Linked DNA regions of Drosophila melanogaster. The protein of the gene in region 4 purifies or fractionates together with the protein of the main gene of each other region. This does not show direct contact. Each region holds a gene or a part of one and is shown on either strand. Other genes may lie near its edges.

The links.
Region 1: the proteins of Atg8a (region 4) and Klp98A purify together in Drosophila melanogaster (affinity purification with western blotting, with the first as the bait; one study listed by BioGRID). This does not show direct contact.
Region 2: the proteins of Atg8a (region 4) and Keap1 purify together in Drosophila melanogaster (affinity purification with western blotting, with the first as the bait; one study listed by BioGRID). This does not show direct contact.
Region 3: the proteins of Atg8a (region 4) and YL-1 purify together in Drosophila melanogaster (affinity purification with western blotting, with the first as the bait; one study listed by BioGRID). This does not show direct contact.

The regions. Positions count from the first base shown.
Region 1 is NT_033777.3:27,554,462-27,561,514, forward strand, and holds the start of Klp98A (Kinesin-like protein at 98A), read right to left. Parts: upstream 4,685-7,053; 5' UTR 3,912-4,684; coding exon 3,865-3,911; intron 1,131-3,864; coding exon 907-1,130; intron 1-906. Other genes in the region: CG5646 (uncharacterized protein), read right to left, coding at 5,180-5,576, 5,639-5,753, 5,813-6,053, 6,302-6,414, 6,714-6,759. UniProt on the Drosophila melanogaster protein: Plus end-directed motor protein involved in asymmetric cell division of sensory organ precursor (SOP) cells by playing a role in the asymmetric localization of Sara-expressing endosomes to the pIIa daughter cell but not to the pIIb cell.
Region 2 is NT_033777.3:17,072,114-17,080,802, forward strand, and holds Keap1 (Keap1), read right to left. Parts: upstream 5,990-8,689; 5' UTR 5,793-5,989; coding exon 5,705-5,792; intron 4,781-5,704; coding exon 4,464-4,780; intron 4,390-4,463; coding exon 4,132-4,389; intron 4,073-4,131; coding exon 3,390-4,072; intron 3,274-3,389; coding exon 3,068-3,273; intron 3,004-3,067; coding exon 2,225-3,003; 3' UTR 1,829-2,224; downstream 1-1,828. Other genes in the region: Ns1 (nucleostemin 1), read right to left, coding at 1-404, 469-490; mRpS11 (mitochondrial ribosomal protein S11), read left to right, coding at 685-881, 940-1,070, 1,125-1,225, 1,389-1,454, 1,515-1,622.
Region 3 is NT_033779.5:10,967,164-10,973,491, reverse strand, and holds YL-1 (YL-1), read right to left. Parts: upstream 3,050-6,328; 5' UTR 2,939-3,049; coding exon 2,805-2,938; intron 2,745-2,804; coding exon 2,612-2,744; intron 2,536-2,611; coding exon 2,235-2,535; intron 2,176-2,234; coding exon 1,688-2,175; 3' UTR 1,399-1,687; downstream 1-1,398. Other genes in the region: CG16743 (uncharacterized protein), read right to left, coding at 262-984; Tmem214 (transmembrane protein 214), read left to right, coding at 3,370-3,490, 3,564-3,859, 3,916-4,530, 4,596-4,800, 4,909-5,054. UniProt on the Drosophila melanogaster protein: Part of the Tip60 chromatin-remodeling complex which is involved in DNA repair. Upon induction of DNA double-strand breaks, this complex acetylates phosphorylated H2AV in nucleosomes and exchanges it with unmodified H2AV.
Region 4 is NC_004354.4:10,762,923-10,771,081, reverse strand, and holds Atg8a (Autophagy-related 8a), read left to right. Parts: upstream 1-2,743; 5' UTR 2,744-3,011; coding exon 3,012-3,101; intron 3,102-3,775; exon of another isoform or gene 3,776-3,914; coding exon of another isoform or gene 3,915-3,929; intron 3,930-4,425; exon of another isoform or gene 4,426-4,704; coding exon of another isoform or gene 4,705-4,752; intron 4,753-5,279; coding exon 5,280-5,477; intron 5,478-5,546; coding exon 5,547-5,624; 3' UTR 5,625-6,204; downstream 6,205-8,159. Other genes in the region: BTBD9 (BTB (POZ) domain containing 9), read right to left, coding at 10-519, 581-1,027, 1,096-1,734, 1,789-2,361.

The DNA.
Region 1 (7,053 bases), on a different chromosome or scaffold from region 4:
TACTCTAGAGCCTTGAAATGGCAAGTGAGGAGCCTCAAAATGTATTTAAAACTATTAACTAAACAAAATACAAATCGTGAGCAACAGTTAAGTTTTAATTATACCTCTTGAATTAATCCAATAAAATTTATATTGTATATAGTAATTGCGCAACAACTATTTATGCCACCTTGCCAGAGGGTAAACTAAATACTTAATCGCAAAATGGCCAACGAAATACAAGTTTTTGGCAGTTGGAAAATTTTCCCGTACTTCTCGAAATCTGTGGAATCCTCTGGAGCGGCGGTCATCCATCCGGTAGCAGGAAATTCGCATGATTATTGCTAACTGCACCTACTTGCATACAAACTTAAATTCATTTGCAATTAGTCGCCAGCAGAGCGTTTCAGCCTGCATTTTTTTGTGGTATACACTCGTATACACTCTTTTTTTTATATTTTTAGAGCCGCAATATTGTTTACACAGCAGAAAATTTGGGAAAAAAGCGGGCGAACACCCAATATCAAAGCCAATAAACAGACGCACAGGGAAAATGTAAACAAAACCGTGAGTGCAGGCAAACAGAATGAAGAAAACTCGCTCTCGGTGTGGGGCTAATGGAAAATGTGCACAGAAAATAAATATATACCTATTTGCAACAATGAAAATGGGTTATATCTAAATCTATAGTAAGAAGATGGCTGTAGTTGCCTTTTAACTCTTTAAGTTTCCTAATTTCAGAGGTACCTCTCACGCGAATTCTAAAGTCTATATAAAGTTCGAATTACTTGAAGCTTTTTGCAGTGCATAGTGTGGGAAATGGACTAAAAGCCAAAGCGTAGACCAATATTCGCTCAATTAGCTGGGGGCTCGCGCGTCACAATTATGTAATCGAATGGTGTGACCCCAAATGGGACCTTGGCTCACCTTCGTAGGCGCAATCCACGACATCATTGCCCAGATCGCTGTAAACCTGCTCCTGGGTGGCGAAGTGCGGATCCTCCGCATCGAATGACCAATAGGAGTAGTCGAAGGTGAAGTCGTGATGATTGTCCCGCCCGGCATCGCGAATGGACTGCAAACGTGGCTTCAGCAGACGCGTCTTCTTGTTCTCCATCTCCATGATGAGCTGCGCGTCCATGTCGATCTCGCTGCAATGGGAAGTAAAGATGACAGTTTTATTTACTTACTTTATTATTACATTACATAATGGATCTCTGGCTCTTAACTTGTGTTAAGTTAAAGCTACATATAATGGATAGGCATTTGCATACACCTCCGCACAGCCCGTCCCCTTCTGGTGCCTTTCGTGTTGGATTATAAATAGACCGAGCCGCTGGCTCATAAATATTCTTATTAACGATTTTTGCATGACCCCAAACAAATGGCGAAAATTCAGGGGGCGTTTCTTGGTTCACGCGAATGGAAATGGAAATGGACGGGAAATGGACTGGCCCATGCAATCCAATTGACATGTTAGCCCTGTGATCAGACGACTCGACGCTCCACAGCTAGCTGGATACAAATTATAAAAGAAAATCCGGTTTGTAGCGAATACAGAAATGAAGAAGAAACAACCGACGACTTGATTGCAACATCAAAAGGAAAAGCGGCGCAAATAAAAAAAAGAGAGAGAGAGATGAAAAACTCGCGTCTGGGCATAGATAGAACATTCGTTTAAAGATGGAACCGAACCGGTTGACTGGAGTTCATAGGGGCACCCACACATCGAAATAGACTTCAGCTGAAAAAGTAACACATGCAAAGGCGCCTCTAAGCAAACAAAAGATGCACGATAGCAGGCATCGAAAAAGTGGAAAAACGTGGATTTAGCATCTTCATAGATCCAAATAGACGTCTATCATAACTTTAAGGCCAAGATGGACAGAAGAAGATCACATCATTCATTTACAGTCTGTATTCGGCACTATGGGAAGATCGTGAGATTTGGGGGAACAATTAGTTATTAGCGTAGATTATTGTAATTTTGTGTATTCATTTATTTCCCCAATTGTTCTCTGTACCTTTGAGAGTTGGGTTGTTCCCATGATTGTACTGTTTAACTTTTACTCAAATGTTCTGTCTTCTTTGCAGTGAAAAGGGTGTTTGTTCTGCGACTGTAAAGCTCTAGGAATCCCATGGCAGCCGTAGTGCCTTGTCCCATTTCGAGCGACAATTTTGGGTCATTCCCCCCATCTTCAACATGGGCTGCCACGATTACGCCGCTCCACTCAAGTCGACGCAGTACTCATTGCGTTTGAGTGGCTTTAATTCGTTAATCTTTGGCCCAATGCGAGTGCATCATCCAGCTGGAGATTACGGGAAGCGAGAAAACTCCGGCAAACAGCGGGAAATTCTTTGCGGCATCTGATTCATTTCCCAATTAAACATTTATGCGGGACACCAGCAAATTTCGCTGCTGTGACTCATGAGCGATGGGATGTGGAACTTGCTCGGCCAGTTTCGTGCCAAAATCAAAAATGTTTATTTGGTTTGCTTTTTTTCGGGTGCAGTGCCTATAAAGCACACTTACATATATACGTAATTATAGTAGATATCTGCTTTTGTTTTCGCATGGAGGCTACTGTGAGCAGTCAGTCTTGCATGTCCACTGAGGAGCCGTGGAAATATGTGCTAAAAATGTCCGTCCGGAGGCCAAAGAAACTATGCAAAAATATTTACAGTGAATGCTGCCAAAAGGAGAACGGGTTTCTCTTAAAAAATTTAAAGAGGTTTGTACATATGTACACTGCTAATTAGGATTATTATTCAAAGTGATCATCGACTACTAATCCAACTTGTATCCGTTTGCCTTATCGAGTGCTCCCTGTCATAGTGAGTAGCTGCTTTGCATAAGTTTGAGCCAAAACGATGATGTCACAACGCGGCAGGGAGTTAGCTCCACTTTTTGCCATTATAATTACAGCATTTGCCGCTGATAATGTTGTTTTATTTCATGCACAATTAACACACGGCAGCCGTAAACTCACAGCGCACAAAGCTCGTTTTGTTTGGGTTAATGTGATTTTTATATCGAACGCCAGAGATGAATGACATCATTACGGAATGTATCTTTCTTAGCACACATATGTACATATCTTTCTTTGTGAGGCACTTCTGCCAACTTCTCGGTGCGTTCGTCTTTCTTTCGAACGCTTTTCTCGATTCGGTTTTATTCGCAAGTAACTGTGCCAAAAGCAATGACCGCTGCGCCAGATAGCCAAGATAAAGACACAAAAAAAATAAATAAAAATAAAAAACAAGCAGCAACATAAATGCTTAACGATCATAGACAAGGCTGGTAAAAATAAAAAGGTTTAATGTGGTTTTAAGTAGGCAGTCTAGTACACTTTTTACATGTATTTCAAGGGGTTTTTTGTAACGAAATTTGTTTTCTAGACACTTTTGTGCTTTTTAAGTGAAATGCGCAACCAAATTCCATACTTTTTTTCAAGGGGCGTTTTAAAGTTAATACGCGATAGAAAGCCCAACAAACAAACATTCTCCTATAATGATAATGATAAGTGAGGTCATAATAATAAGGCAAATCTATATCTTTTTTGTTTAAAGTCATCGTCACCCCATTGCTTAGTCATATTTTTCAAAATCTAAATTAAAGCTGCTTTTTGAGTAATAAAAGAGATTGTTAGAACATATTCCACAACCAACTTAATATTTCAGTTTTTGATTAAGATTGGGAATTGTAGTTTTTTTTTAAAGATAATATTCATATTCATAGAAACATAATCTTGAATATTTAGCTGTGCTTTTTGTTGATCTAAGCTAAGTTTGACTACCCTATTTCTGTGTAGATTCTATTTGCAGTGTTGCTATTTCCTTGACCATGGCTGTGTCTATAAATAGGCGTAGGATATCTGGGCTTACCGGGAGTTGAAGGGTCGAACCCTTACGGCGACCTTGAGTGACGACATTTCGATGGTGGCGATGGGGGTGGCTACGCGGGATTCTTGTACTCCTTTATTTGTTTATTTGGGTGGTGGGTGGTGCGGATTTGGGGGGCGTTTTCAGCACGTACAGTAAACCAAAAGCAAAGAGATGGGTACCAAACAAAAAAAATAGGAAAAAACTTGCAGCAGCAGGTTTTGTTCTTGTTGTTGTTGTTGTTGTTCTCGCCTGACCACTTGCCACGTAATTTGATTTTTTTGGGATGGATTGTCAATGGGGGGAGGGGTGGTAAAAGAAATGGGGGTGGGGGGCAGCAGTGGAAACACAATTCACTCTGTTGCGTTTTTGTCCGACTTTTGGTCTTTCTGCTTTCCGTTTGCTCTGCTTTTCAGTTTGTTTTTCTCTTCGTCTTCTTGTACACCGTTATTTCGATTGCGAGCCTCCCGTTCGCAAAATCAGCGAACTTTGCGAACTTTTCGCGGCTCCACAAACAACTGCACATACTACCACTAATAAAATTAAGATTAAATTGTGCGCAATTCGACATTAATTCACTTGCACAATTTTTCCTGCCATTTTTTTCGGCGGCTGCTCATTGCAACTCGCTGCGTTTTTGCGCTGACCATATGTGTCTGCCCATATATTCACTGGACATGGGTCATTAAGTGCAGCACGATGAAAATAAGAAAAATAGCACGCTGTATGTACACTTTGTTACTTCGATTTGCGTTTATCTCTGTTTTTTAACGAACGCGACGCGATGTTGTGTTGTTGTTCATCGTTCGACTCGGTGTGACCGTTCGCAGAACAGTGCTAATAAACTGCGGAGTTACACACTCGCCTTCTGGCAGTGCGGTCACACCAATTCGATGTTTTCAACATTCATAGAAATGGTTGATAACACGGATAGCGCATACTCAAACCGATTTGAATGTTTTCTAAATTCAAAAACTTGTTCCTATTGTTCAAACCAAAGATTTTTAAAAAAATTAGATCTAACTTTAGAGGCAGATCTCAAATACTCAGCAATATAACCTTGTTCATGGACGCAATTTGTCATCATTTTAATTTTAAAGCTTACAAAATTGAGGTGCATTTCGAAAATATTAAGCCCGTGTTGATACGATAAAACGTTTACAAAGTGAGGCAATTAAAGCTATTTGTTAGTGCTGTTAAACAGCATTGAAGTAAATTATAGAATAGGTTTGCATTTTTCGATCACACTCATTCTCAGTTGACAACAATGTACACAGCATACAAACTAAGGCTCCTAATCTCCACCAGACTGCCTGGGTCATACGTAGGTGCCGTTCCACCGCTGACACCACTCCAGCGCATACTCGTAGCCCAGGAAAGTGGCGGCATTGAAGGGAACCGCCCGCGCCACCAGCATCCAGCTGCCGCGGAAGATGCTCCTCCAGCCGTAGGCTCTGTACTGCACCCGCACGCAATGGAAGATGCCCCGGTACTTGTGATTCTCATCCGCCTGCATCAGCGTCTTGACCACGTCGAACGGAATGACACACACCCACGAGATGACTCCCGCCCAGGCGCCGGCCAGCGTGGTCACCAGCAGGTTCACACTGGATCCGTCCGACTGACTGCGTCGCCGGCGCACAAAGTCCCGCCTGTCCATGTAGTCAACGCCCTGGCGATAGGCCAGCATATAGATTCCATAGGGCAGGACGTCGCTGTAACCAAACGACCATTGAAAGATTCATGTATTTTTGGACTACCACCTGGACTAACTTACCGGCACATCATGGGCAAAAGGCCGCGATAGAGCCCCGAGATGCCATCAGTCTTGAGTATCCTTTTGAACGTGCCAAAGGCGGTCCTTCTCTGGCCATACAGATAGTCACTGTAATCTACGGAATTTCACAAATTAATCCTCCATTTTGGGATTAAAAAATCAAGTAGAACCCACAAGTGGCTGTCTGCAGGCGAACCTTGATCAGCTCCATGGGACAGGCGATGAAGGACTGCACGAATCCCGCCACAGAGCCCGCCAGGAACATGTTGTGGTACTCCAGCTGCTCCCGCTGGTAGTCACTGTGGCACACCTTTCTCAGCTGCCGCAGATGGTTTCCATAGATGCCGAAAAGCAGCGAGTTGATCGCTCCCGTCGAGATGAACGGGAAGAACATGCCCCTGTAGAAGCCGTTGACCTTTGAGGCGATGCTGATCGATTAAACCCATCACGACCCACCTAGGCGCTCTAAGGGATTGCGTCCAGTCGGAGTCGGGATTAAGAATAGGACAAAGCCATTTTGGCTGGTTTAAATATTTGAAAAGTTATGAATAAAAAAGGAGATTGGAAGATCGACATGTACATCGTTATCCAAATATTTCACATAAAATTTGTATCCTTGAAAAAAAGTTTCCAACTAGACGCAATCCTTCTTTCCAAACTTACCCCATTATTTCTGCTGTAGATCTGTTGAATGGCTGTCACAACGGATGAATTTGAGGCCTGTTGCCAAACTTTGATCGTGTCGAGTGGGTGGGCCACCAGCACCCCGCAGGCACCTGAATATCAGAGTATAAAAATCAAGAATGCAGCATAAATTAATTAAAATTGTGGCCACAAAGTTAAACAACACATGTTGAACGGCCGCCGCCGCCGACAGCCGCTTGCCAAGAATCCGATGGATCAGGGGCGCCGCACGTGAACTTGACCATGGCGCCCGTTTTCCGCCGGGACTGAGGCAGTTCCCCTCAACAAGTGGCCTATCGCCACACGGCTGCTGCATTGCGTCATGCATGGCCCAGAGTTCTGACCAAATTGGGATGAATACCAGCTGGAGCTCTGCCGCTCCGTCACTCACCACCAAAGCATCCGGCCACAAAGTCGCAGTAGTTCTCCCACTTCATGGATGCGGATTTTCAGCGAACGCTTGGAGTTTTCGGAAAATTGATTTTTCTCGCGATTTTCCAACTGCACCTCACGACGGCAGCGAACCAACTGCAGTGCACAGCTTTTGTGGCTCGGCAGCAAAGCTCTGCGATTTCGCCAGCTTTCCCAGCGAACAGAAGCTGATTGCTAAAAAATAGGCAAACCGAATGCTCACTTTTCAAAAAAAGATACTTTCTAACGAAAAAGTAACTCTGCTAAGCATAATGATATCTTGTGGGTATACAGCTCAAAACTATTCAGTTCTAAACTTA
Region 2 (8,689 bases), on a different chromosome or scaffold from region 4:
CTTGAAGTACTGCTTCAATGACTGCTCTTTGGTCACGGCGTTCTTGTACTTCTTTTCGTCCTGATCCTGGGCATCGTTTTCGTGCATTATTCCGTGCACGGTGCTCCGCATGTCTGCATCCTCGACCATGGACTCCAGCGTCTTGAACTTGTTCTGTTCGCGTTCCGCCTTAAAGGCTTCGCGGCGAGCCAAACGTTCGGCCTCCTGACGTTGCTTGGCCTCCTCCACCTCCTTGAGGATGTCATCCTTGAAGGGACAGATGTTTGGGATCTGGATGAGCTTCTGTTTCTTGCTACCCTTCTTTGGATTCTTCTTGGCTGCGCGACGTTCCTTTTTGTTGTGGTCCCGCACCTTCTTTTCGATCTTGTGCTTCAAGCGACCGGTGAGCCTCTTGGATTTCTTGGCTGTGGATTTTGACAATAGATGTAGAGCTTCATTTAATGTATATACATATATACTATTACTTACTCTTCAACCTTTTTAAAGCCATTTTACACGAGGATAACCGGAATCAAAACCAACTTAAAACAAGAACACGTGAAAATAGTCTTCTTCTTGACTTTTTGTCAGTCACCACGAAGCGTGGCCACTTGTTGTGGCGTGCTAGCCAACACTGCCAGTGTTGCCAGACTGGCAGTGTGATGTAATTTGGTTTTTGTGAACCCTCTGCGAAGTAAATTAATAATGTCACTGAAAAGTGTATTTCTAAGTGCTCTTCGGAGTATTACTATGCCCGCTGTGCCGCTCCAGACTTCTAGGATACACACGAGCGCTTGCTGGCGGAAGGCGGAGGACCGCAAGGAAATGCTGGCATCTTTACCGGCCAAAGACGAAGGAACCGTGGGCGAAAAGACCGTGGACATCGACACACTTATCAACCGGTTGGAATTCAATTTTACATTTGTAAATAGTCTTGAATTCAATTAATTTTCCATTTAGCAAGGCTAAGTTTTTCCCGGATGCCAGCACCGCCAACACGTTATTCAATGGAATACCCTTCAACGAGCTGCCCATCTGCAACATTCGCGTTTCACCCAACAACACAATTATTTCCGTCACGGATCACAAAGGTGGGTCATCTGGAACGTTACTCTAACTGTGATCTAAAGTATCCCTCTTTCCAGGAGTCCTCCGGCTGATACGATCCTGTGGAATTGAGGGATTCAAAAACACTCGCAAGGGAACCAACATAGCAGCTCAAGCTACAGCGGTTACCATTAGTGGAGTAAGTCATTTCCACAAGAAACAGGTTTTACCAAAGTAGGATGGTCAAAAACTACATAGAACATCGAGATAATCTCCATTATAGTTGTATACCATATATGCATTTGAATAGTATAATATGGGCATAGAATCATTTAAAACAAAAAACTTAAATTGTATTTCAGAAAGCCATTGAATTGGGCTGGAAGACAGTGCGAGTAAAGGTTCGTGGTCTTGGCCCTGGAAGAATGGTATGTTCAATACTTTTTGTCTCTCATGTCACTTAAAAATAATTAAATGTTTTGATTCAGTCGGCCATCAAAGGACTGCAAATGGGTGGGCTGAACATCGTTTCCATTACCGACAACACACATGTTTCCTTCAATCCTCCAAGACCCCGAAAGCAGAGAAGTCTTTAATGTGCAACTTGTTAAGACAACTTGTTTAAAAGCAAAATACACAAATAGTCGTTTACAAACAAATACGAAAACAACAGTTTATCTTTCTAATGGAATAAATAGCACTGTCACGGTGAGTTTTATTAGGAAGATATTTGAATATGGCCTTTTTGTTGCCACGGCCAAAGGTTTGCACAAGATTAATAGCAAAAAGATTAAATAACTTTGTAAAATATGTTTGTTTTATTTTTCTTAAATTATTTGCTTTCTTTTCTTAAAACCTATTTTGGATGCGCATAATTCCTCTTCTTATCCTACGTTAAAAAAAGTACAATACGCAATCTATCAGTTTGGATACCTACAAAATACGTAAAATACGAACTTTCCTCCCACTAATCAACTATTAACCCTAATCAATCTTTTTAAAATGGGCTGACGAGCGCCAGTTATGTTATGGATGCCATAAAAACGGTTTGACTAATTATCACCTAGCGAACACACTAGTAAGTAATATTACAATGGAATGCTGCTTCTCAACATGGAATTCTAGGGGATACGATCAGGCTTTGTACAATGAATGATGTTTTTGGTTGAGGCTAAGCGTGAGGCTCGGATTCGTATTGTCATGTGGCTGCGCTCGTGAGTTTTCGCAGGCGACCTTCGATGTGATGGTGAAAAACTTTCGCTGCTGTGCTAAATAAACATTCTTTTTGTGCTTTTTTTAATTTATGCCGCATATCATTAGCATTTCTCTCATCATCTGTGAAAGACGCTGGTGGAGTTCTTCGAAATCTTTCCTGCATTCTGGACCAAGGACAGTTTGGATTGACTAGCTCCTCGGATCTAATGGCGGGAATTTGAAAACTATGGTGTTCTGCAGGAATATATGGTTTTATATCCATTTCCGAGTCACAATTGTTGCAGCCGCTCATTCCGTATGAAGTATGAAACTGCATATTGGACGCCGTCCCAGGATAATGTGGACTCCCACTGCCGTACGTGTTTTGTGGTGTATGAGCATTCCTTTCCCCGTTGTTACTTCCATCCGGGTGTGGGGCGTCACTATCTTCGTAGTCCATAAACGTGGTGGAACACGCCGGCTGATAAATAACCGCCGACGCATGACCCGATCTTCCCGATTTTAGTGGTGTTCCTGTTGTCCACGTATTTGTTCGTGGATCGTAGACCTCGACTATGGACAGAAAGTTGTTGCCATCGAATCCACCAATGGCGTACAGTTTTTCGTCCAGCGGAGTCAGCGAGAGAGCACTGCGTGCGATTTGAATTGGCGCAACCATGTCCCAGGTATCGTTTTCGGTATCATAACGCTCCACGGTGGCTAGTTGACGGGTGCCATCGAAGCCACCAACAACGTAGATGTACTGGTTAATTGCAGCAACACCTGATAGCAATTAAATCGGAACTTAGTTGGAAATTAGATAACAGGATGCGCCAGTCATTCTTACCCGCTCCACTGCGACCCGTTTGTAGTGGTGGCAAAAAACTCCACTCATTGTTCTCCGGATGGTAGCACTCCACGCTGGCCAAGCGCTCGTTTCCATCGAAACCTCCGATGGCATAAAGCAGACGGTTGACCACCACAACACCCACTCCCAAGCGCTTGGCATGCATCGGCTGTACAAGAGTCCAGCGATCCAAATCGGGGTCATAGCTGCAAGAGATTTAAATAAATAGGGTTTGCTAAACTATGTCGATAGAATAAACAACCAGAAAGGCTTTGTCAAATTAATTAAACTATTATCTATTGAAATGATGAACACTACTTACTATTCCACCGTGTTGTGGTACTCCATGCCGGCGGACCCGCCTACGGCGTACATCAGCTCGTCCATCACGGCCACGCCCACTCGATGGCGTGGCACGGACATGGGAGCGCACGGACGCCATGTTTCGGTGACTGCACTATAGCGATCCACCCAATCCGAGTCGTAGGAAGATCCAATGTTGTTATTTCTGCCTCCAACCGCATAGAACTTGCCCTTGAGAAAGGCGGCACCCAAACCAGATCTTGGAATGCGTAGATTTGCCAGTGTCGTCCACGTCATGTCGTCTACATTGTAGGCCTCCAGAATGTCCAGTGAGTGACGAAAAAAGCCACCGGCGACAAATATCATCCTTGTGGTGTTGGGGGTTCGTTCCTTGACTCCTGGACACTTGTGCAGCGTTAAGTCCTTAAAGATCTTGGCCAAATACTCCCGACAGGCGGGCACCTTTCGCAGAACATCGCAGTTTTTCATCTGCTCCTTGAGGAAGTTGGGCGTAAGGAACTGACAACGGACAGCGCCCAAAATGTGCTCCATTTTACAGTGTCGATTGTCCTCGTCGTATTTCACCCACTTTAGCACAGCGTTGTAAACCTCTCGCTCCTCCTGCACATTCAGTTCATCCCTTCGTATCAGGGCAATCAACTGATATGCCGAAAGCTGCAGGAATTCCTCCTCTTGGCACACCTTAGGGGAACTCAGTAGCTATAGTTTTGTGTACTCTTTTCATATCGTAAATAGGTTACCTGAGTGAAATTTCGCTCAATAAACACATTGGCCTTCTTTTGCAGCTCAACACAGCCGTGTTGCTCAGCAAAGTGGGCGATGCCAATGGCATTCGTGGGATCCAATTGGCGCTCCAGAAAGGCACAGCAGGCATCGATTACGTTTGGCACTTGGAACATGGTGGCCGCGGGCAGGAGTTGGCACACCGTTACCTCGGTCACACGTATTTGGCCGGTGTACATGAAGTAGAGGATGCGTGACATGGCCGTGGGACACACCTGTAACACCGAAACGGACGAACTGTTCATCCATTAAACCAACCAATTAAGGGCCGCGCTTGAGCTCAACTTACCCCTTGGAGCTGGACGCGCGACATCTCCGACTCCTTGAGTCCCCCCGTGAACATGGCCTTGAAGTAGGGCGATGCCGCCGACAGCACCACTTTGTGGGCGGGAAAGAGCTCCTTCTTCACCTCGAGTACCACGTCCGTGAGCATGCCGTGCGAACGCATCATGTACATCATCTTCAGGGCCTCCTTGGCGTAATTGGACATGCAGAAGGTCATGTCATCATCCGTAGCATCGTGATCATCTAGGGTCGAGTGCGCCGATCCGAATCGACCACCGCATGAGATGGAACAACTTTCCGAAGTGTTGCTCATCTCAGCCTCTGGAAAATCGAGGAATAGATCATATTGTAATTCCAGGACATATTTCAGAAAATATTCAATTAATTTTAATTATTTAACAATTAATTTAATAATAATTAATAATTATATTAAATAGTAATTAATTATTATTAATTATTATTAATCTTAAAACCAATACACGCCCTACAGTTGAGCCCTGTAACCCTTGTACCTCGTACCTCATCCATCGCAAATAGATCGACAATCAGCGCGGGCTATTTATTCTATTTTATTATCTAATCTGTTATGAATTTGCAAAAAAATTAAAAATGGCACTTTAAAGAAATCCTCCAAGTGTGAAATGACGTACTATATTATGGATATCCAAGATAACCGAAAGGTTAGATACGACCGACCTTTAATACGTTCTAGAAATTAAAGCGGTCATTTATTTTGTTTTTGAATGCGAATAAGTTGGTAAGTTTATGAGTTGGTAATTTGGTAAATTGGGCTTAAAGATTTATAAGCTCTCGATTAGAAAACTAAGATAAGATTAAGGTAAATTATCTGTTTATTTCAAGAACACTCTTTCGAATGGATACTACATTGCCAACCGGAATTTGCATTGTCAACACAAACCAGTTTCTTTCGCGATAATATTTCAAATGTCTCTAATTATTCAAACGTCCAAATCGAGCAATGCAACCTGGATAAGTGCCGTTTCACTCCATTAATTTTTATCATCTCACATTCAACTACAAGTGACTTCACTGTAGCACAATCTGGAATCGTTTTCGCCAATCATTGTGGGCTGTTTCAGAGAACTTGATTCGCAATGCGCACCGTCATGATCAGTGGTTTCTTTTTTTTTTACCAAAAGCACGCGTAGCGAAAATATCTGGCAAACTTGTTGCGAATTGAACTGTAGACCCAAGGTCAAATCCAGAACTTTAAAAAAAACCAACCTTCTGGGCGGCAGGGGTATCCCTTGTGGTTGGGCATGTCGGAGATGTGGGTCTCATATTGCATGGGCGAGTGCATTTGGGTTTGCATTTTGGCACTAATCTCGGATCGATAGGGATCCTTCACAGCTTCGTTAGTTCGGTAGAGATAGTTTCAATAATCAATAGTTTCGCAAACAAAGACTGAAAGTCCGTGTGAAAATGAAAGCGCGCGATCAGCTGCTTCTCCGCAAATCCGCTCCGGCGATCATGCGTGTGCCGTGGAGAGAGCCCGTCAACTGACTGCCGTGGTCTGCGTCTGCCCAGCCACAGAGCCCACCGAGACTTATCTCTCGCGGGGATGGTGGCGGAGTGGGGGGAGCGTTTCAAAGAGCGTTATCATGCTTACATATGTGTGTGTGTGCACACATGTGCCTGAGTTCTATGTGGCCCTTCCAGGTGAATACACTCCGTGTTGTGGCGATAAAAACTATATAATGCCATGAATGAAACGCACGGCCCGTGGGCGGTTTTTTGGACCGTAACGATGATGCTCACAAATCGTAACCGATGGCAAACATAATTGTTTACCATGTTTACCAGCAACAGGTTTTTGTATGGAGCCTCAGGCTACACAGCGTTTGCAAAAAAATTACGCGTGTCATGCAAGCAGTTAGGAATTTCGTTTTGTTCAAAAGATAGCTAAAATGTGTTCAAAGTCCGTGCCAAATGAACTATTGAATACAATCAAAACAAAAAGCTAAGCTAATTTCGTATGCGCATATCGTGGAATATGTTTAAAAGAGATTACGTCTCTCTATTTTTTATTGCATAGTATTTTAGTCATGATCGGAGTTCTGTCTTAAGGGAATTTCACAACATAAATGGCCATATACACAATATTGTACGGTATATCCGATTAATCATTGTTACCAAGCTCAATTGAAAAGGCAATAAATTTTGAAGTATCAAGTCATGTTCCCAAAACAATTTCAATTTATGAACGCCTTATACACATGACGATAGAAATATTAATATCACTGATACACACTTAAAAAAATTTTTCGCATTAAATGAAGTAACTACAATAATGAAATATTTTTTTTTTTCATTTAATAATATTAAGACACAAAACCCTTTCAAAGATTATCCTTTAATTTTATTATTTATTCTAGAGAAATGTTTACAAAACGTTTAAAATTTATCGTATGTTTTTCTTATCTGAATCACCAAATTAAAACCACTACATATGTACTACACAAATATTTTTGTTTAATCAGATAAGGGCAAAAGGGACTTCCCCCGCCAAAAATCCCATATAAGTATTATGGCGAATCAAACGTACTTTGGAAAATCCACGCCCTTTAATAACATTAGTTCATCAAAGTGCGGCTTTAAATTTCCGCATAAAGTGACGCTGAGTTGGTTGTTGGTAAATGAATGATAAAGGCAAAAACTGGACGAAATAGTGCCGAATCATGCTGAAGAGGCAAAACCTTACACACTGTCACAGTGGTACGTCGGTGTAGGTGAAAACAGCAGCGTAATCAGCACGGATGTTGGGGATGTGTGTTTGTGTGTTTGCAGGTACCGTTGAACTTTGCTTTCACATAAACAAATATTACTCACTTACATTGCTCTCCCTGGGGCGACAGCTGTCACCCTTGCACACACGTACGTACTGTACATACTATTTACATACATACACACACCCGCACTTCCAACGCCATGTGCCAAACAGCTGATAAAGGCCATTGAAACTGAACTCGAAAGAAGGCCACTTAAAACAAACCACTTTGTTGTAAGAGATTACCGCAATGCAGGACAAACATTTACACTTTATCACCAGGGATTTCAAGATCTCACAGATACTTCATATATTTATGTATATAACCACGTAAATCGGCTGGGAAAATACACCGTTAATTTCTCCCTTTGTTTCATTGAGGTTTTCACATGCAGATAAATGTACGATCGTAGACAAATAAAAGGTTTCCCAGCTGGAAACTAAACTATGCGAGGGTCATGCACTTTTTATGCCTTTTTTGCACTTTGTATGTTTTATTTACTGCTACTCACATCTGTATTTATTTATTTTGCCACTACACAACGATTTTTTCTACTCTTCTTCTTAAGGTAAACATGCAAGTGCTGGAAAACGCTCGACACTGAAAGCATGTAATGACAGGAGTTGCCAGATGTCCAACCAGCTGGTGGATATTTATAAAATAAATGGTATACATGATATTAAACCACATTTACAAACAATTTTAATTATTACAACTTTAAAGTTGGTTGTACTGTTTCACTATTCTGATAATTTTTTTTTTTTTTTTTTTACATATAGATGTAGAAATTCCAAGACGTGAACCATCGTGACTTATCGAAAGCAAAACGATGATCGGCAGCACGTGGTATTTCTCCGCGTGGTAGCTAAGGTCCCACTAGCGCGTTGGTTATAATTTGTTTGTATCGGCGTCGGTTGAATTGAAATCAGTTAATTTGTCGCAAAGTAATTTCTGTATAAGTATTAGCTGTGCTGCTAGAACTAGAACGCTACAAGGTGGGTGTGCTTATGTTTATATTGATTTACAAAAAGCTAAAATACTGCTGGTTTCGATGGGCACTGTCTGCGCATCCTTTTTGTTGCGGTAGGATAGTATAGCATACATACATAAATTTGTGCGCGTACAAAGGAATAATTCAAATGTTCAAAATGTGCGCAAAATATGAAGCAGCAGGCGTTAGAAACATCAGTTTTATTGCCCTGCAAAAGGGCTTTATTGCACCCCTCGCCCAAGAGCTCACATTTTTTTTCCTTTCTCCAAACAAATTATCGCCAATTGCGGCTGTCGCGCCGCCATTTTAAAAAACGAACGCGGTATCAGCCTCCTACAATTGCATGGTACAGTGGTGGCAAAGCATAGTGGACCAGGTCAAAAAACCTGGGATGTCGAAATATCAAACTATAGTTTATTTTTGTTTTCAATTATAAGTAGCTTGGAGAAG
Region 3 (6,328 bases), on a different chromosome or scaffold from region 4:
AACATATTCAAGTACCTTTTATATTATGAAATATATGTGATACTAAAATATCTCGTTTTACCTTTTCAGTAATGTCTTTATTTACAATGGTAAGAGAACATTTCTTTCTTTTATTTAATCAAAGACTGTGAAAATTGTGAAAATTCCAAGTACTGTTTAAATCTTTAATTCGACTTTGCTACATTGTATTGAAGGCCGACTTGAAACTTGAGGCCCAATCCGACGTTTAAAGTTTCATGTAACATTGTATCTCGACTGCGACTACGTTGAAGATTGGTGGTGACCGTCCTCGTTGTATTCCTTGTTGACCTTAAGGGAATGATTAATAACGCTCGAGCCGCCTGGAGGATAGTTCGGGGCAGGCCCTGATCCCGGGCCGCTGGCAGGCTGCTGTGCCTGAGGCTGATTGGGGATCGCATTTGGGTTGTTAACTGGATTCTGTCCGGGAGCCCCCTGCGGTGGATAGCCGCCTGGATATCCGGACGGGTCGGGTGGATACATTGATGGTGGCGGAGCTTGTTGCGGGTGTGGCGGTGGTGGTGGTGGTGGGGGCATGTACAGATTGTAGGGATATGAAGGATAGCCTCCCATTTGAGGATACGGAGGATACGGCATGTACGGATTGTAGAGATATGAAGGATAGCCTCCCATTTCTTGATACGGAGGATAGCCCGGATTAGGATATGCAGGATAATTGTACTTGTGCTCCGTCTTGGAGTGCTTGTGCTTCTTCTCTCCACTGCTGCTGCTGCTGCTGTCGCTGCTATCGCTGTCCGTCCTAACCACTTCGTACTGAAGTAGCAGTACCAGAAGGACTCCAATCGCCGCACAGCTCTTCATTTCTCCGTTTAAACGCACGACGTTCGTTTGATCTAAGCTCACGGGTATGACTAAATCTTGCTCACACAATACCTTGTCCCGTTCCCGTTCCGACAATTCAAATAGCCAGCGCGTGCGTTGATTTTGATAAGTCGACAAAAACATACAGATGCGACAAGGTTGCGGCAGGGCCCACTCAACTAATTCCCTGTAAGAGTTTAGGATTGAAAAACAATTTCATTCGGAAATGAACAATACTTCGCCCATAGATTATAAATAGAGAATACAATGGGTTAATAATTTATGTGATGTAATGTCTCATACTTATTAATTAGTTATTGTGTGTCGGAACAACCGCATTTCCTCCAGATTTTGTTATATATTGCAAAGAGAGGCTGTGTGCTTATCAATTTGACGCAAATTAAGCGAAACAATTCTTTTGAATAATCTTAATAGAAGACTGCGACGCTTTTATTATTTAGACAACTAAACTTTTAAATAGAGCGGCAATTAAAATTAGATACTAAAAGGTAATAAATGGGTTTTACATATACAAATTGGATTAGCAAGATAAACTTTCTTTTGTGTAAACTGTTTTATCAACTTCTTAAGTTAATAAACCGGATGCTGCTGATAAATAAAATCAAAACAGACTGTGCGTTGATTATAAATACTTTTTAAAGATAACGTTTTGGGAAATACCCTATGTACTACTTTTCCATTGTCGCCATTGTATGAAATATATTAGGTAATCGTTTGGTACTGCCTGAAATTGACGAGGGTTGTCCAAAGAGTAGTTTGTGATTTCTTATACCTTTTTATTCGAAAAATACGTATAGCTTAATGAACTATAAAATTGATAGCATTATTAGTTATCTCCGTTTTTGCTGGCAGCTGCCGAAGCCTTCAGACGATTCTCCTTGACCAGCTTGCGCCATTCCAGCCATTTGGCCAGTTCGGGTTGCTCGCTGCCGCCGCCTTGCTGTTCCAGCTGCATGTAGTAGGCTTCGCGCAGAATTTTGAAGGCCTGGATGCTGTAGTATGGCTGCTGTGTGATCGGGTCAAAGTAACGGGCTGGCAGCCTGGTGATTGGACAGATGCCATTGCTGGCTTTGGGAGGCGCCTTGTGGCGGAAGAGGCTTTGAAACACCTTGTCATTGAAATCGTTCTCGATTGTAACGAATGTGCGTTCGCACTTCCCAGCAAGATCCTTTGAATCGACCGCAGGGTTTGCTCCGCGAGTGGGCTTTCGCATCGCTGGCATGGTTAGTGAGTGGTAGCGTATCGTGGGTCCGGAGAACGTGCGCTTGGTGGGACGTGATTTCTTCTTCTCCAGCTCCATTTTCTGGAATTTCTCTGTGAATGCAACAGCAAATTGTAAAATAGCTGCTTCCTTGGTTGCTTTAGATACCCACCCAAAGATTTAGTGTTTTCTTCCTCGGTTATTTTGGCCTCCTCCAGCAGCTCCTCCTGCGTGGGCATGTAGTCCTCCACGCGCACCTTCTTCTTTTTGCGCTTGCGGGCATCGTCCAACTCTTTGAGGCGTATTTTGGTAGCCTGTGTCTTGATGGCCGTGGAAGTGCGTATGGATTTGCGGCCGGAATCGAGGACCGTGAAGCGTGGACGTGGCCGCCGTTTCGTTACCCCACCACCAGGTCGTTTCTTGTGCAGGGCCGGCGTTGCCTTTGTTTCCTTTTTGACTGCAGGCTTGGTTTCCTGCGGAAATCATATGTACCATTTAAACACATTCAGTAATCACAGGATTTTATCGCATTTTAAGAATGGTTCGCACCTTATAAGCCTTTGTGTTAACGACACCGCGTTTCCGCTTTTTCTCGGGCGCCTCTTCCTGATCCGAAACGGGCTCGTCGTTCTCATCGATACTGAAGTCGGAGTCAACCACATCTTCCTCTTCGTCTTTTTGCCTGCAGAGTGAATTTTATATGGCTTGAGCATTTAAATTTATTCAAATGATTAGTGCTCACTCGTATTCCTTATCCTCTTCGTCCTCCTGAAATCCACCATAGGACGTTTTGTAAAAGTCGTCCTCCTCTTCCTCATTGAGCAAATGAGCTATTTTGTTGCCGGCATTGTTGCGCCGTGATCGCGAGGCAGCCATTTTTGTTATTTATATATAGAAACTATGATTTAAAGCAGCTATTAAATAATAATATTTTACAATTTGTAAATGTAAACAAGCAGAGCAGTGTGACCAATGTAGCAAACATAGTATATATCGCAGAGGCTTTACAACTTTGGTATGCGTTTCAGCCCTGGTAAAGAAAATGGTTTCTCCTGCATTGGCAGTTATTCAAACACATTTAAAACATAGCTAAATTTATTTATTTATCTATTACATGTATCACAACAAAAAGCAGGCAGCTGCTTTAAAATCACATTAAAAAGCGGTCGGTAATTCAACTACCGAAAGTAGACCACATTACTTTACACTTGCGCTGGCCACACTCTTGGCTTGTTGCTTTTTATTCTGCCGGCTGCCTGCATTTTCTGATTTAATTTAATACCATCGATAAAAAGACTGCTCGCAACATGTCGGAACAATGGGAGGTGGTCTCCAAGTCGCGCAAGCAAAAGAATCTGGACAAGAAGGTGTCTGCACACAACGAGCAGAAGCGCATCGCGGCCCAGTTGCCCAAACTGGAGGAGCTGTGTAAGAATCTTTTAAAAGGTGCACCTTGCAATGCGATTACATGTTTGCCCCTGCCATTTTATTCACTTCGCAGTGCCAACTCAGCGGTATCGCAATTTGTTCGGCAGCAGCAACAACAACAACAGCAAGTCCCATTCCCCTGCGAAATCTAGTTCAAGTGCCTCATCTTCCTCAAAAGCCAATAAGTCGCCAGTTAAAAAGCACACCGCAAAGAATGCCTCTACCCAAAAAAGGACCACGTCGGCAGCCGCATCGAAGCCAAAGACTCTGGAGCTGGCCTTGAGAAACATCACCCGGGATGATTTTGCTGCCCAACTGGAGCAGGTGAAGCTCAGTTGTCCTGGCTCCGAGCTGCGCTGGTTAAGCCATGTATGTTTCTAAAGGAAATGTGCCTAAATATTTGCTCACCTATCGTTGTCCCCCAGATTGCGCTATACTTCAATGAAGCCTTGTCCTATGACTGCGATCCCATCTTCTCCGGCCGCTCGGCTCAGTATCCCAGCAATTTGGCCAGCGCCTCGCTCAAGTACTCAATTGTGGAGTTTCTGGGCAGTGTGGGCGAACAAAACCTGGAGTATTTCTTCTACTCCCTGCTGGATAGCATGTCAACGGATCTAAACAACAATCAGACAGTGGCAGGCTACAAGCTCATCCTACAGTTGATCGGTCAAAACTGGCCGAACATTTGTTCTAGGAACCTGGCCAAGACTGCGTTGCTAAGGAACTCCTATCAGAACCGTAGCAACATCTGCCTGAGCATCCTGTGGGCAATTGGACAAGGTGGCTATCAGTCCCTAAACGAGGGCGTTCGCGTGTGGCAGAACCTGATGCTGCCCAACCTGGAGCTAAAGCAGTACACCAAGTTTGTGGTCGAGTATATGGAGCGGGCTCTGAGTGCAGCAGCTGTCCGGAAGACAGCGGATCCTCTGCAGATCAACCAGCAGGAGTTCTTTGCCACTTACAATGCGCTCAATGCACCCTATAACCACCTGCCCAAGGAATGGCAGCAAAGTCTGAAGCGTAGTGCGCGTTTGTTGCTTGTAAGGACGAAAACAATTGATAGTTGTCCCATTGTTTCACTGACCTTTCTTCCTCCTGTGTGTAGCAACACTATATCAACAGTCCTGTGAGGCATGCCAACATATTCCTTACGCTCTTCCGGGAAATAAGCGCCGGATCCAAGCAGACTAATGAGATCGAAGGCTGTATTAGTTGTCTGCTCAGCAGCGGCAGAGATGATTGCCTCAGGGTGTGGCGCATGAACTACAAGAAGCAACAGTTGCCTAGTCTACTGCTTCTGAAAGCTATAAGTACGATCTACAGCTGTGAAAATTCATTTAATTGGATTTTTGTTTAAAAGTACCACCCACACTTAACGTTAATGTGTTATCTAATATTGAATTTCTATCTTTTCCTAGACGACAATTGGACCACGTCTACCCATGAGTTGGCTACGTCGACTGTGTATCACTCTTTTCTGCAAGATGTGGCGAATCTGAACGAAGAACTGCAGGGAAGCAAGAGAAACGAAGGTCACCTAGATGATTTAAAGGAGGTTTTGTTGGTGAGTGCGACTTAAGTATATCACTCGATTCCAAGCATAAGGCTCTGATCCCAGATCGATAAAAGGTGAATGTTGAATGTGTGTTGTTTTATCTTTTATAGTTTTATTGGAAAACTAGTATATAGGTAATATATTTATTTTGTTAGCTTTTTTAACCCAAACTTATTATTCAAACTTAAATGAAATCAGAAACACTATAAATTTGAATTTTCTCACACCTCTGGTAACACTGTTTAAGTTAAGTGGTCTGGCTTAGTACATTACGTACTCTGGTCACATTGCTTTAGTGAAAAGAAAAACGAAGGTATAAACTTGTAGAACTGCCGTCTAAAAGTGAATAATTTATTGCAATCGGTGCTAAAAAGAATGATATGAGCTTATTACACTGCAGCTAACTAATGTAAAACTCTTCACGTAGAAGTGGCCGAACTGTTAGCCGTTAATGAAGTTAGAGTTCTTTAGGAGGACGCTGCCAACGCGACGTCGCTGCGGGAAAGAGATGGAAAGCGTTAGCCGGCGTTCGTCCGAAATTTCTCCGCTATTCAACTGGCTTTTGAAGCCTGGAGTGAGCATAAATTAATGGTCCGCACCTTAATTATCGCGTTGTCGCAATTATTGTTGCTGTTGCAGTAGTGCAAAGTGCGTTTCGTGCATATGTGTGCGTGTCAGTATTAACGGTTGTGTATTCCGCCGTTCTGCACTGGTATTGGTGGCAGCTATAGCTGCACTTTTCCCATAGCGTTGCCATGCGGGTTCCAGTTGCCGCTAAATTTCTCCGAGCAGAGCAGACGTTTTGCTTTCGAAAAGAGAGTGGGCATGGCCATCGGGGATCATAAATTGCCGCATTATCAGCCAACATTCTTATCAGTACACCCAATTTTCGGCTGATCTGAGGCTTATTTTTATTTTCCTATTGACTGATGTGTTCCAGCTGCGATTGGCCACTCGCCTCCTGCTCCCTCACCCACTCCCCTCTCACATCCCGCTTGTGCGCACTCTCCTCCTCTCTTCGCCTCTTCTCCGCACTCTCACTCTCATTATTGCACAGTGGTGCAGTTTCGCACTATCACCTGAAAATCTCGCAACGCCACGATTCCGAATTCTATGGTCCAAAAAGGGGGGCGAAAGAGAACCATTTGAAGATTTGGGCTGCTTCAACACGTGGCATGTCCACTGTGACCCTGATTCTCGCTGGCCTTCCATCATTCTTTCTTTCTTTCACTCCGAAAGCATAAAACAGACGAAATTTAGAGGGCATAGTTCATTCAACTCTT
Region 4 (8,159 bases):
GCGATCAGCTCAGAGCGTCTCCCTGGTGTCAAGCTCAACCAATGGCGGCACTGGCTCCAACTCCGCACTCTGGCTTCTGCTCCTACTTAGGCTGGGACTGGGGTTGCTCCTTGAACTTGGACTGGTGTGGTGGCTTGCGTCTGCACTGATATTACTTGGCTGATTTTGTTCATGGTTGTTATGCGGCGACGAGGTTGCCGGGGTCAGAGGAGCCGGAAGTGCTGGCGTGCCGGGCGGGGAGAGTGCTGGCGGAGTGAGTGGGGCAACGGCCACTTCCCTTGTCTGTGGCGGCCAGTGGATGGACCTTAAAACGCTTTGGCTGCTGCTGGAGGAAGTGGAGGGACTTTCAGCATGGCCTGAAGCCAACGAGGATCCCGAGGTAGAGGCAATATTGTCATCGTCAGTCTTGGCCGTCTTCTTCTCCTTCTCCCTCTTCTCGCGCTCCTTCTCCATGTCGGCTATCTTCTTTAAGTAGTTTTTGTCCTGGGTCGGACATTCGAGGTGGACGCAGTGGAAGATCTAAGAGCAAGGAGAGCATTAGCTTATCGGACATGTTTTGTGGCGCTGCACTGCTACGTACCTCATTCGCTGTGTTGCGTGTGCCCACAATGCGGATATAGACCACTGGACGCGGAGTAAAGTGAAAGTTCTGCCAGGAGCGGGTCCTGTCGTTGCGGCGGTCCACGACCATTTGCCATTCCTTGCGGTTCGTCGAAATTTCGATGTAGAAGCTGTAGGTGCGATCATCGCAGTCCCACAGCAACAGCCTCATTGAGCCCAAATAGTAGGGTTGGCCCAAACGGACGACGATCTCGCCGCTGCCCAATTGGTGGCAAGTATATCCCGAGTCCCAGTCGTAGCGCACATAATCGCCGTTGATAAGCGCGTTGCGGGTGCGACTCACGCCGTCCGTCACAATGGCGCTCATCTCTACGGTGGCCACGTTCGTCTTGGGCGCCACAAAATGGTTAACTAAACGCGGCACCTTGGCCGTGTGCATGGCTTCCAGACCCACAACATGGAATACCTATATATTAATGGAAAGGGAAAAAGTTAAAGAATGGGGAAAGTTTGAAGAGATCACTGCTGACTTACCCGGTTTACAGTGTTCTGGGTGCCCACCAGTCGAATGAATCTGACGGGTCGTGCTTCGAAGTATAAGTATTGCCAGGAGCGGCAGTGGTAGTCGCTGTAGTCGACCACGCGATCCCAATGCTGCTGGTCGCCGGACACCTCAACGTAGTAGGAGTACGCCCGGCTGTCTCTGTCCCAGAGCAGCATGCGAATGTGATTGATCATGCAGAACGTGCCCAATTCGACCACAATGCCCGCATCTTTGCTGTCCGTAATGCAGTGGCGCGTATACCCGTTCTCCATGTCATAGGTGGTCACATCTCCATCCAGCAGCGCGTCGCGACACTCTCCCTGGATGCAGCGCGACAAAAACGTCTCCGCGGCCACGTTTTCCTCCGGCCAGAGCGCCGCCCTGTAGGGCAGCGCCTTTGAAGTGCTGCGCTCGTCGATGGCGTCGAGAATCTTGTCGGGATCCAGGATGCCCGAGGGACGCACCACCTGCAGCAGATGCTCGAGGTTCATCAGTGGCAGGCGGACATAACTAACCACGGACTTGAAGTCCACGTTGCTATTGAAGCGGCTCCACTTCCACACGGCCAAAAAGATCTGCACCTCGGGGGCGAAGAAGCAGTCACGCCGTAGTACCTCCTCCAGCGATTCCTGTAAGCATTACATACTCTTAGTGCCAACTTTACCAATTGGTTGTGAACTTACCTTGGATAGCGTATTGAAGCTGTTGTGCAGCAGCAGGTCGCCGGCATTGCGATCCATGAACATTAGGCAAACCTCGGTGAGTTCCTCTAGATTGTATAGACGCGCCGCATCAAGAATCATGCAGACATTGTCCAAGGCCAGATACTGGCGTAAATAATTCGATATGGCCATCTCCAGATCCTGGAAACCATACTGATTGGCCATGCCCAGCACATCGATGGTGGAATCCTCGTCCAATGTGGACAGCAGCAGTGTGCCCGAGTAAATGTAGCGCAGCAGCACCTTGAACGCTTCCAGCGGCACCTCAAGCGGTATTTGGCGCTGTGTGGTCTCCGCCATGCCGCCGTACAGCAGCGCCCGGAAGTATTCGCTGCGTGCCGCGAGTATGACGCGGTGGGCGGGTATGCGCTCCTCCTCGACGATGAACTCCACGTCCGCGTACTGTTCGTTCATGCAGAGGCGCGCCATGTCCGCTGAGAAGCGATCGCCCAGATCGACCACGTCGGTGTAGTCCTGCTCCATGGCGCCCTTCTTGCCGCCGCCGGACATCTTATGGTGTCCCTGGCTGCTCATCCTTCTCTTTTTTGTTTTTCTTCCGTGCGATGTGTATTTATGTGTGTAAGCAGCCAGAGGGAACAGTTGACAATTAACGTTTCGTCTCGCCTGCTGCGTCAATCCATCGATGACAGTTAGTGATATCGATAATATCGATGGCACAATAGGGATTCTTCTATTGCGGCGAAAAACTGTTATATGTGCAGTGTGACCGTAGGTGTGTATACCATTTAACGCGTACAACAACCATATCGACAGCCGTCTGCTAGCGAGCACATGAACCACATGGTTGCATCCGATAACATTTAGCGAATACATGAACCAAATGGTGTCTGTCTAATATGCCACCACTATTAGCGCGTTTCGGGTTGGTGTCTCTGCGCGCTCACTGGTCACACACGGTCAGTCTAGCCACAGCAGTTAGCGAGTGCAGTCACCACAGTGCGAGTGCTTATCGATAAAACCAGCAAGTCATCGATTTTTAGACCGAAGCGCTCTGTCAACTGCTGCGCACGGTCACTCTACACAAGTATTTCGTACCGTTTGTACGAGAAAACAGAGAAGAGAAAAACACAAGCTCAGCAACGCATCGATATTCGGCACAGTCCCAAAAGCAAACGAAGTGATAGAAGCTGCGTTTCTTAGCCAATTACCTCTTCATTGCAATCATGAAGTTCCAATACAAGGAGGAGCACGCCTTCGAGAAGCGTCGCGCCGAGGGCGACAAGATCCGTCGCAAATATCCAGACCGTGTGCCCGTAAGTACTCAAAAATATATATATAAATGCATATAGGTATAAAGAGACGTGTGTGTGTGTGTATATATGCGTGCGAGTGTGTGTGTATGTGCGAGCTTCTGTGTATGCGTTTGTTTTGCGTCGTTTTTTTTCTCGCTCTTTTTTTTTGTGTTTGCACCGAAGAAAATCAATACTGCGCATATTGGGTATTTCGATTGTTATTACAATATTATTGCACTGGCACATCAGGTGGCTGGGGAAATTTGTGCGATGGGTATTGCATAAAGTGCATTTTGCATTACTGGTGGGGGGAACAGGCGACAAGCTCTCAAAAGAAATTCAAACGAAAATTCTGCCCCCTGCATACACACATACGCACGCATACACGCGCACACAGGCACACAGATGTCGACAGGAAAAAACAAAAGCAAAAAAAGGGAGAGAACAAAGCAGCCGTTTCACTTGCTCAGCTGTTGTGATGTTGTTGTTTTCAGTGCTAGATTTCATCTGTGCCACCTCTTCCTCTCCTCTATCCCACCCTCTGGCTACACAGCAAGAAAATCGCATATATCTATCTGTCATCATAATTTAGTTACAAGCAAAGTTTTGACCACCCCGTTTTTTTTCTGTGTGTGCACCAACCAGTTGTTTTCGATTTTAATTTCGTTTGTTTGTTGGCAAAACGAGCGAGTACTGCGCATAAAAAAAGTCACTAATACTCACTAATACACACTTATACTAGCGCTGCTTGTTTTGTTTTTCGCAAATACACAAAGTGCGACTGGAATTAGTCATAGATGCGCTGCTGAACACAAAACAAAAATAATAAAAAAAATGGAAAACAGAAAGGTTGAAAAAAACAAAAACATCTTCTGCTTCTTCTTTGTTGTTTTTCTGCTATGTATGTATGCATTTCACCACGTTATCAGCGAAAACTCCTTTCACAAAAACCAAAACAAAACCAAACGAAACGAAACGACAAACTGCTGAAGGTGCCCCAATCGCAGCGAAAAGTGCAGTTCTTGTTTTCGATTTTGATTCGGACTGCATATGCATATGTATATATGTACAAATATGTACATATGTGCGCTATATATGCACCCCCGAAATATTATTGCCAGTGTTATTTTAGTGTTTTTTTTTTTTGGCAAGTGCAGCAGTGCCAAATCACAAATCACATAACAGCTGAGCGAGGGGCAAGGCCAGCTGGTCGCTCGGACCACCAGCATATCCATATATATCCGAATTCTATAGAATATACTTAGTACATACATACGTACTAGCACATCTCATACTTGTGCCTTGAGTTCGGCCAATGACGATAACGAATTTCGATAGAACACTAGTGTATAGAGGGGTGGCATTCGCGACAAGCAGTTTTTGCCCATTTCGTATTCACTATGTTGGCACCCGCTTCCTGTTCCAAAAAAAAAAAATTGGACAAACCAGTTTGCCAATAATTTGGCTAAGGCTAACTAATGAGCCCCTGGCTAGAACGGATCGTCTAGTCTAGGCCAGCTAGCAATTATTCCAGAGCCAAGGAAATGCAGTAGATTCGTTACAAAGCTCACTTCAATGACCAACTTGGTCGTCTTGGTGATCAATTTGGCTAAAATGCTGTAAAATGTGTATGTGTTTTTGCATAATGAACAAAAAAAAACAGATGATACAGGTGAACTTGAATGTAAACAGGTGCTAGAAATCTTAATTATATTACAAAACATATACCCCTTGAAAAATGCATTGAATTTGGCTTAAAAATAATATGTGAACAAAAACACACGTGTGTGTAATTACACATTCCAACTTACGAAATTCCAAAATGCATTACGAAATTACTGACTGAAATTACGAAATTACTCATTTTCCTGTCTAAATATAATATGAGTCAGGCCAATAACAATCAGGTATAGTTGTTCGTAAACAAATTAGTTTTCAATTAATATTAAGGTATTTTGTACACTAGATAGCAAGCATCAGAATTCATAAGACTATAGTTTATGTTTTCGGCATTATCATATTCCAAGGTAGCACGTATTCGAGCACACTTGCTTCCAGCAATGCAAATGCCATTTGTAGCCAAATATGTGAGCCTTATTGGGCACGTAATCAGGTGCGAAATGTGCGCACATTAACATGCACAAGTAGCCCGCAACAACAACTCACCTCCTGTATTTCTTCTTCTATTTAAACCCAAAGGTCATCGTCGAGAAGGCTCCCAAGGCGCGCATCGGTGATTTGGACAAGAAGAAGTACCTGGTGCCTTCCGACCTGACCGTCGGTCAGTTCTACTTCCTCATTCGCAAGCGCATCCACCTGCGTCCCGAGGATGCCCTCTTCTTCTTTGTGAACAACGTCATTCCACCAACATCGGCTACCATGGGCTCCCTGTACCAGGTAATTACCACAATGCCCATTATTATTAGCCTTGCAATCGAATCACATACGTTCGATGTATTTTTATAGGAACATCACGAGGAGGACTATTTCCTGTACATTGCCTACTCCGATGAGAATGTTTACGGCATGGCCAAAATTAACTAACTTTGCTCCGGTCGGGATGCATCGGAATGAAGCCCCCCCCCTATACAGAAATCTATATATAAATAAAATATATTTTGTGTTTAGCATGCAAGCTTACAATATGGACGGCGAGTTAGCTAAACGAATTGAGGAAAACCGCAGGAAATGCCACATGAAAAGAACTTGAAATTGATCTGATACGCAGGGCAACAAAAAAAATCCACAAAAACCGAAAACTACAAAAACAATTGTTATGTGAACATTATTTTATATATATACATTTTCCAAACGCGTTAGTATTTCAATTAAACTCTGCTTTGTGTCCTACCCATTAACGAAACAACCAACCAACCAACTTTCCCCACAAAAAACAGATCTATTCACACCCTTTCTGGGCCATTTAATTTCCATTGCTGTAATTGATCCGTGCGAATGCTTTGTACTTTACTTTGTTACTTTGCTAATATTTCAATGAATTCACTATTTTTTTTTTTATTCACGATGCAACAAAATTCTGTGCATATTTAGTGTGTATGGTTACGAATAGGACTCTCTCGGTTAAGTGTACGGTAATTAATCTATTATTAAATAAACAAAAACCACAAAAATACACATGCAAAGGGTGTTTGTTTATTTGGATTGTTCTTCGTTTTCAGTTTGCAATCACGTATATCACGCTTAGATGATTCAGCGATAAGTGACAGGAAGAAGTTATTTTATACTGCTTTTTCTTTTGTTCACCGAACAATGAGTCCTTATCTTTTAAAAATGAAATGAGCTTTAGCAATGAGTGGGTGTTTTTTTTTATTCTTTGCTATTAGTAACAAAAGCATTTATTTATTTTAAATTGAAGGCGTAAAAGGTAGTACTTATGATACCATTCGCAACGCAAAAGTTTAAGTGTGCAAATTAAATTGAAAAGAAATCACTTTGTTTATTGTTTGCTTATCTTATCGCAGCAAAGGCACTTTGCTAGCCATTCAAAATTGCCGCCCACAAACGTTTTTATGGGCAGCACTGTCATCAAAACACAGCTGGTCACACCATCAAGTGCTGCAAAGCAATATCTCAAGTCAGCCATAAGGAGAGCATGTGCTAAAAAGGGACAGCTCCACACAATAAGTACGATTAAATTGCGATATATTTTTGGTAGTTAGTATTTTTGACGCATTTGGCGGACGACTGAGCACGTTTGAATTTCGTGGATTTTTTAGCCAATTTCACCATCTGGCAACACTGTTCGTTGGCCTCGCAGTTTTTCACCGAAAAGGTTTTGTAAAAACACCGTGCCAAACTGTCAGAGAAGCAGGTAAACTAAAGTCCACCTTGTCGGATCGGCCACTGAAAAGCCGGATTAAACAAACAACGGACACGTTACCGAACAGCTCGGAAAGGTGCAGAAAGGAAACATCAGATGAAAATCTATTAGCTGTTGCGAATTGTTTGTTTTTGCTGTGCTATTCGTGTTTTTGTTGTTGTGCATATGATTGTGTCTCTGTTGTTGTTGGTGGTGGTGTTGCTGTTGTAACTCGTGACGACGGAAATTAGTAACAAAGTGAAAATTGAGAGTTCAAAAAAGAAGAGAACCCCGAAATAACTGTTGTGTGGGTGCGATTGATTTTTATGCTTTGTCGTCTGGTTTGTTGTTCTTGCTGTCAGAGGGTGGTTGCAACGGAAAAGCAACCCACCACCCCCTGGGTTTTTGAACTCCAGCTTATGAAAAACAGCTGCAGCGATTGCCACACAAAAATTCAAATGTTTAAGTGAGAAAAGCGAAAGAGAAGTGAACTTAGCGCTTATTGAATTATGGCTAAACACGCTGACTAGACCAAATCGAAAGAACAAATGAGTGCTATAATAACAAAAGTGCCAGAAAGTGAAACAATAACAACAACAGCAACGACAGCAGTCGTGTTATTGTCCACTCAGCTTGTTTTTGTTGTTCGCTTTGTGGCCCTGTTTTTCGCTTCTGTTTTGCGCTTCTGATTCTGAAGTCGCCTGCTTCTTGTGCCGCCTCCCCTTCCTCCCACCATACATCCCTCCCTCCCTCTCTTTCTGACCGCCGTCTCTCTTTTTTACGCGCATGTGGATTCATTTTATTGGTGCTCAAGTATCGCATGATAATCTCACGCTACGTCCCTCGTAATTGTTGTTGTAATCGCTGTCGTTCTGTCAGCAGAATGTCTTTATTGTTATTGTTGTTGTTGTGCTTTTCCGCCTAACACACACTAACACGCGCACACACAGGCACACTTGCCGAAAAATTGAAGCCATTCTCGCCGCAAATCAAATTCAATTGAGGGAAACTATCAACTAACCCGCATAAAAGTGAGAAAAAAAACATACAGAGAAACAGCCGACACTTTTATACACTTCCAGTTAAAAAAAAAAATAAAACAGTCAGTAATATAAGTTATTAATATAATTACCCAACAATAAGTTTCATTACAAAAATACAGTTTTTATGTTATATTATTTGAGATTATCATGACGAGTTCCTACATTTCTTGAATAATTCGGTGTATATGTTTAATAGCAATATCTGCTAGTTCTTAT